2 linked regions of the Arabidopsis thaliana genome follow. The protein of the gene in region 1 interacts with the protein of each later gene in a biochemical or structural test. Each region holds a gene or a part of one and is shown in the gene's direction. Other genes may lie near its edges.

The links. The genes of interacting proteins can lie anywhere in the genome.
Region 2: of the proteins of PRR3 (region 1) and WNK1, one has a biochemical effect on the other in vitro, tested with the Arabidopsis thaliana proteins (2 studies listed by BioGRID, with this or other methods).

The regions. Positions count from the first base shown.
Region 1 is NC_003076.8:24,199,182-24,202,936, reverse strand, and holds the start of PRR3 (pseudo-response regulator 3), read left to right. Parts: upstream 1-1,572; 5' UTR 1,573-1,808; exon of another isoform or gene 1,809-2,274; 5' UTR 2,275-2,434; coding exon 2,435-2,702; intron 2,703-2,790; coding exon 2,791-2,952; intron 2,953-3,048; coding exon 3,049-3,437; intron 3,438-3,528; coding exon 3,529-3,676; intron 3,677-3,755. Other genes in the region: PUM18 (pumilio 18), read right to left, coding at 1-983. UniProt on the Arabidopsis thaliana protein: Controls photoperiodic flowering response. Component of the circadian clock. Controls the degradation of APRR1/TOC1 by the SCF(ZTL) complex. Expression of several members of the ARR-like family is controlled by circadian rhythm.
Region 2 is NC_003074.8:1,352,658-1,356,412, forward strand, and holds the start of WNK1 (with no lysine (K) kinase 1), read left to right. Parts: upstream 1-1,878; 5' UTR 1,879-2,426; coding exon 2,427-2,501; intron 2,502-2,582; coding exon 2,583-2,620; intron 2,621-3,060; coding exon 3,061-3,288; exon of another isoform or gene 3,289-3,366; coding exon 3,367-3,587; intron 3,588-3,676; coding exon 3,677-3,755. UniProt on the Arabidopsis thaliana protein: Regulates flowering time by modulating the photoperiod pathway. Phosphorylates APRR3.

The DNA.
Region 1 (3,755 bases):
CAGCAACGAAGCCTAAATGAGTCCAAGATGTTTGCAATGTTGCTTCCGTGAGATCTACGCAAGAGACGGATAAAAGGCATGAGCTTCTGCACCAAACCCCAAAACAGATCCATCCTAGACATCTTGGTGAATCTCAGAGCCTTGACCACCACGAAATTCCCAAACTCATTCCTCGCCAGCCTCATCAACCTGTCTCCATCGCAACCCAAAAGCTCCACAACCACCACAACCATTGACTCCTCCACCTCCAAAAGCTTCTCCACGATGTAGCTTCCATACTTCTTAAACGATAGCTCAATGCACTGACCATAAAGATTAACGGCGATGTTGTGAATGCAACGCGAGTCATACAGTGTAAGCACATGTTGGACCACAAAGTTCCCTGAAGCATCGTTGCTTAGCCGGAGAGCGTTGGATGCGACCAATTCTAGTAGCTGATCTCTGTAGTAAGGATCGTCAGCGTCGGTTATGATATCATTGAGCGCGATGCAGCCGTGCTGGTCACACGCTAGGTCGAGAGCGTGGTAGAGAATGCGCTCGTACAATGCCTTTTTCATCACCTTGTCGAAAACGACCATGGCTCGTATCGTCACGTAGGATGCGTATTTGTCGGTCGTGATGTGGAGGAAGCGGCGCAAGATAGCGGCACAGAAGAAGGCGTCCACGTCATCTGATTTGCCGAGGAGCTTCTGCACGCGTCTCGAGCCGAACTTGGTTGTGACGATCGACATGAAGTAATCGGAGTCAGACGTAAGCAACGAGGCCATCCTCTGAAGCTCTGTTTTGTCTGAATTTGAGATCATCTCTTTAAAGTAAGACACACCATCGCCGTCAGTCATTAGGTTGAACAGAGCTGCGTGCAAGGGCGTGGCGGAGGCGCGTGGGGCGAATCCAGGAGGAGGAATGGAACCGGAGATTCCTTTAGGGTTTGGTAAAGCATTGAACATGGTCGACATTGAAAAGGGATTATCAGCGACTGCCATTGATAAATCTCTTGATGATCTACAGAAATTTCTCTAGAAAAGGGTTTAATCAGTTTGTGTGATTTGGGAGAAGTATGAGAGACTTGTGAATGAGAGATCTGTGGTGATGCGTAGAGTATTTATAGAAAAGTTAGGGCTTTTGTTTTTCTAGTTACAATTACACAACTCGGATTACTACTAGGAAAAGGAAAAGGAAACTTATTTGGTGGAGTTTCCTTTTTGTTTTGTCAATTTTCCTTTTTTCTTTGCATTTTCGTAACTGTCATGATTTTAATCTATCTTTTTTTGGTGTGTGAAGATAATAATAATCTATCTGAAACAAATGGAAATATGTAATTTGTTTTGTTGTAAATCGACAATAATTTAACATGTCGATAATCTCTAAAGTCTAAACCAACCCCTCGCAGTCCAAGCTTTTGATTTTGTCCACGTCACTAATCTCAGCATGCGTAAATTTATCTGGTCCTACTTGACACGTAGGTTAGTTCTGCCACGTCATCAAACTCCAAAATAATATCTTCTCTGACCTTTTTGTTCTACCACCTCCCAAAAAATCCCAGTCTTCTCTTCCTCTGATTCTCTATCAAGTTTTTTAAATTTTCTTTCTTTTTATTCTATTTTAGTAGCAATTTGGTTCTGTAAAGTTGTTGGTAAAAGAAAAATAGATACGAATCAAAACATTTTTGAATGATTAGGTGATTAAATGCTAAGCAAATCAGATTAAGCAAAAATCTGTTCTTTTTTGGTTGTAATTTGGTTTTTCAAGTCAGATATGGTGAGAGATTCTGGTGGTGGTGGTGTTCATCAATGGATTATGTGAAAAAGGTTTGCTTTTGTTTGTCTTGTCGCTTTTACAATCTGCTGCTGTTTGAATTTTGTGCTTATTTCATTAAGTATTATAGCTTAGAGCCTTAGAGTTTGATTTTGTATCTGGTTCTGTAGAGTTTATAAGAAATTTGAGAAAGTAGGAGATCTTTACAATCATCTAATGAATAAAAGAAACTGTGTTCAAAGTTTGTTAACTACTTACCAAGTACTGTGATAATTTTCCATTGGAACATTGATAGCTTTTGATTTTAGAAACAACAAGTTTCAGATTGTTTTCTAAAGCTGAGTGTGTGCTACTATTGAAATTTGATTTGGCTTGTTTAGTTTTTCTTTGGACAAGTTTGATGATTTATCCAAATTCAGTTTTTTATTTTTTGGTTCTGGTGTGAGACTGTGATCTTCTTACGGAATGTTGCTTTTTTTTTTGTTTCTCGTTTCTTATTGGGCTGAGGTTTTGGTGAAGGGATTAGAATAAGTTTGGGGAAAGAAGAAATGTGCAAGTGTTATGTCAGTGTAGAGGGGAAGTTTCTGCAGAATCTTAGCTGTTACTTGATGCTGCTTCTATTCTATCTTGTTCATGGAGGCTGGTCTTGACACTTTCATGAGATATTAGTATTCTAAAAATGTGTTTTAATAACATTGAAACTGGTGATGAAGTGGAAACCGAGAGGCAAGTGTTTGGTTCATCTGAAGAAGATGAATTTCGAGTTGAAGATACTGCTAGAAATACCAACAATGTACAGATTTCTCAACAACAGCAGCAACCGCTAGCTCATGTTGTGAAGTGGGAGAGGTATCTCCCAGTTAGATCGCTTAAGGTTCTTCTGGTGGAGAATGATGACTCAACACGCCATATTGTTACTGCCCTTTTAAAGAATTGCAGCTATGAAGGTTTTCTTATATTGAATTGATCATCCTTGTTTAGCAATCACATTTTTGCTTTTGACTAACAGTTGTAAATTTGGAAACTTTTTGTCAGTTACTGCTGTTCCGGATGTCCTTGAAGCCTGGAGAATTCTAGAAGATGAGAAAAGTTGCATTGATCTTGTCTTAACAGAGGTTGACATGCCTGTGCATTCAGGAACCGGTCTGCTGTCCAAGATTATGAGCCATAAGACACTTAAGAACATCCCCGTCATAAGTATTTACTCAAATCCTTGATTAAATTTTTGTTTATCCAGCTTCAATATGCCATGCTCAGTTTGTGTAACTCAAGATGTGATGTTTCTTTTTGTAGTGATGTCATCACATGATTCTATGGTTCTGGTCTTTAAGTGTTTGTCGAATGGTGCTGTTGATTTTCTCGTGAAACCCATTAGAAAGAACGAACTAAAGAATCTTTGGCAACATGTCTGGAGAAGATGTCACAGCGTAAGAGTTCTGATTTGGTTACCTGTTTTACAAAAGTTACTCTGTGTTTTTTTCTTACTTATGCGTTTATTGATTTACCAGTCTAGCGGAAGCGGAAGTGAGAGTGGAATACATGACAAGAAGTCGGTGAAACCTGAAAGCACCCAAGGGTCAGAAAATGATGCCAGCATCAGTGATGAACACAGGAATGAAAGTGGGAGTAGTGGTGGTTTGAGTAACCAAGATGGTGGGAGTGATAACGGGAGTGGAACTCAGGTAATCTGTTCTATGGCTATAGATAATAACAATGTCTGAATAAATCGGTTTATAAATTTTTGATTGGTTTTGCATTTATAAAAATATGTAGAGTTCTTGGACAAAAAGAGCCAGTGATACTAAGAGCACCTCGCCTTCAAATCAATTTCCCGATGCACCCAACAAGAAAGGAACCTATGAAAATGGATGTGCACATGTTAATAGACTGAAGGAGGCTGAAGATCAGAAGGAACAAATAGGTAAGAACGCAAATTAATTAGTCAATTAAAATGTGAGTACACTGATCTTGTGGAACAATTCCTTGAGATTCTCTCTGAT
Region 2 (3,755 bases), on another chromosome or scaffold:
TGATAGTTTATCAAATTCGGTTTGATACCTCGTTCTACCTAGTTTAGTATTAAAAAAAAATTAGTGTAAAATACAAATGATATTCACAGTTACTTGCATTAACATTAAATAAGAATAGAAAATTAACATCTATCAAACAAAAAAACTTTATGGTAAAGTAAAATGGTGTGAGAGGAAAAGGCCAAATGGATAAGATTTGTGGTTGGTCTGATTCATTATTCACAACCAACCAAGTCTTTATTTGCTTCTTTTTTTTTCGTTTAAAAGGCTATGCTGATCGTGCATGTCTTTGTATTCACCCACATGCACATGTGTGTTCTTTCTCTAATATAAGATTGGCCCCCATCAATCTGTTTATTTCCAAATATTATGATAAATCAAATATTTATACCCTGAATTAAATCAGACTTGATTATAGTTAGTCATATTGCACATGATTCCTGTTCACTGTACGATATGTAAATTATGTTGATGGATTGTCGTGTAAATGAAATGATGTATGGTCAAGACTCAAGATAGATAACACGAGCAACTTTAACTTAACACGTGGCCAAACTAACCTTTGTTGCCTCCTTTGGAACATCTAGTCGACATGCTAATGTATGGTCTCGCTGTCTCCAATCCATTTCAGAATTCTTAAATTTTGTGTTTTTATTTCCAAGCTTCTATTGGTAACATTTAGTTAGTTATTTGTAACAAAAACGAAAACATGAGTTAGTTATATAGCATTGTTGTTTGATGGTAGAAGAAGTAGACTAGTCGTTACGATGTAGTTGTATATGTTATAGCGATTGCAATGATTCGTTATAATGATTTTCTTTTTAGATGAATGTCGTCTAATCAAAATTTTGGTTCCAGTTTTTTTTTACCTTTTTCTAAAAATTAATTTTCCAATAGCGTATATGAAACCAAAATATAAGACGGATACTATAATTCAGATTAAAAATGTTGTAGCTAATATTTTAGTATGTAAAATCAACACAAAAAGCATGTCAGCAAACAATATTCAAAACTTTATATCTAAAATCTTTCTAAAAAAAAAAGTAACTTTACCTAAAATATGGTCAAATTCGTAGTGCATTAGGGGATGATACCATTCCCCACCAATGAACGTAATCATAGAACAATGATCATATCCTTTGATTTATTCAAACGAACGATGATCATTTCAAAATACTAGAATATCAATTATATAGTTGAAATGATGATGGCATATACGCTAATACAAATGCAATCCGCACAATGGAATAAACGTATGGAACAGTCTATCATTCCCATCACTCAAAAGATACGTACGAGAGAGCACCTTTCTATTTCCTTTTCTAAGATAGCTGAGACCTGACACGATCACATCCACACGAGGCAACCCAATATTCATATATAATTTGTTTTGAATGTTGATTGTTCTAATTGAAATGAAAACCAGTCGAAGTTTTTAATGACATAAACTAAACCTTTATCAGAATATGGTTCTAAATGTAGTAATTTGTTAATCATATCACACAGTTTAGCCGGTAGGGAGAATTTTTTTTCGGCACGTTATCTCGATGAGATTCATTATTTTGGTAGGTTCAACATTTATTTCACAACAATACTCCGTCGGCTAATGGAATTATTACTATTTGCAAGCATCATCTTTGTGTATAACAAAACAAAACTAAAATCAAAACAAAAGAAAGGTAAAGTAATAGTAACATTTTTGTTTTCTCTAGCTTGTGAATTTGTATAGAATAATCACTAAAATGAATCAATCATAATTTTCAAGTATTCAAGTTACTTTTCCACCGAACAATTGTTAATACTACCACAGAATAATTTCCAATAAATAATTGTCGATAGAGGACACTAATTATATATACCGTATAAAATAAAATCCGTTGCAATTATTTAGAAGTATGTAAAAAGGTTTAAGGAACAAAAAAAAGGTTCCATAAGAAGAAGAAGAAAAAAAATGAAGGATAGATATTTGTTTAGTTTATATCCCATTTTTGGACCACCGTTCCCTAAAGAAACGCACACCGTCTTTGTCTTCTCTCACGAGGTGCTTGTATTTCTCTGTCATCAACCAAAAAAAAAAAACTTCCATTGAACTATTGAAGAGAGAAAAGCTTGGCTTCTCTGTCTTCTAAGCTCAAATCCTCCTTTTCTCTCTCTCTCTATAGAGTTTGAGTATTTATTAGAATGTAATAATGAGAGAGTCTATACAGATACTGTTCTTATCTACTACATGAGTTTCATTGCCCTGTTCAACTCCTTTTGTCAGAGAAGAACAAAAACAATAATATGATTATGCAGAAATTGCTATAAGAAGAAACCTAAACTCTCTCCCATTTATTAAAAGAGAGACGTTTGTATTGGTAGATCTATTCTTATTTTTCCTTTTGGGATTTTTTTATTTGGTTCGTAATTGTGAGATTGAAAGAGAGATGAACAATCTGAGTTATCTTGAACCAGATTACTCTGAGTTTGTTGAAGTTGATCCTACTGGAAGATATGGAAGAGTAATGTTTCCTCCTATCAATCAATCAATCTCAATTATTTTGTTTGATCTTTTGTTGACTTCATTGTTCTTGTTGTTGCAGTACAATGAAGTTCTTGGTAAAGGAGCTTCAAAGACTGTGTGAGAATCTCTCCCTTCTTCTCTTCTTTTTCTGCTTCATGTTTCTCTCAAAGTTTGCAGCTTTTTTTTCTTCTGGATCTGGTGATGATTTAAGCCTAATCTGTTGTTCTTTCTTCATAAAGTTTGTAACTTTTTGTTTTCCCAGTCAAAACCCATTTGTGATCCAACAAATTTGTCCTTACGATTTTTGTGTGTTTTGGATTCATGATTGAATCAAATCCTTTAAAAGAGGAAATAAAAAAGTTGAGCTTTTGTTTTTTTTTGCTTCATTGAATCACTTCTAGTTTGGTCATTAATTCCCCACAAGAGAAATTTCCAACAACTTTGCTTTTTTTGGATCTCTTTATTGCTTTGACTTATACCAAATTCAGATTCTGCAAACAAAAAAACTTCTTTGCTCATACATACATTAATCTTCTTTCTTTCTTTTGATTTTGTAGTTATAGAGCATTTGATGAATATGAAGGCATAGAAGTAGCATGGAACCAAGTTAAGCTATATGATTTCCTACAAAGCCCTGAGGATCTTGAGAGGCTTTACTGTGAGATTCATCTTCTCAAGACTCTAAAACATAAGAACATCATGAAATTCTACACTTCTTGGGTCGATACCGCCAATCGAAATATCAATTTCGTCACTGAATTGTTCACTTCTGGCACCTTAAGACAGTAAGATTCTCTTGTAAACATACTTTTCTGTCGTTGGTTTTAGTTTATCTTTAACGATAACTTCATTTATGGATACAGATATAGACTCAGACATAAGAGAGTGAACATAAGAGCTATGAAGCATTGGTGCAGACAAATCTTGAGAGGCTTACATTATCTTCACAGCCATGATCCTCCTGTGATCCACAGGGATCTCAAATGTGACAACATTTTCGTTAACGGGAATCAAGGAGAGGTCAAGATTGGAGATCTTGGCCTTGCTGCTATTTTAAGAAAGTCCCATGCTGCTCACTGCGTCGGTACTATATGCAAATCCAAATCATATCCTTTCTGCTTTTTAGCTGAGTTTCTTTGTTTCTGATTGTGTAAAGTTTTGATCTTTTGTTAGGGACTCCTGAGTTCATGGCACCTGAAGTTTACGAAGAAGCATATAACGAATTGGTTGATATATACTCGTTCGGTATGTG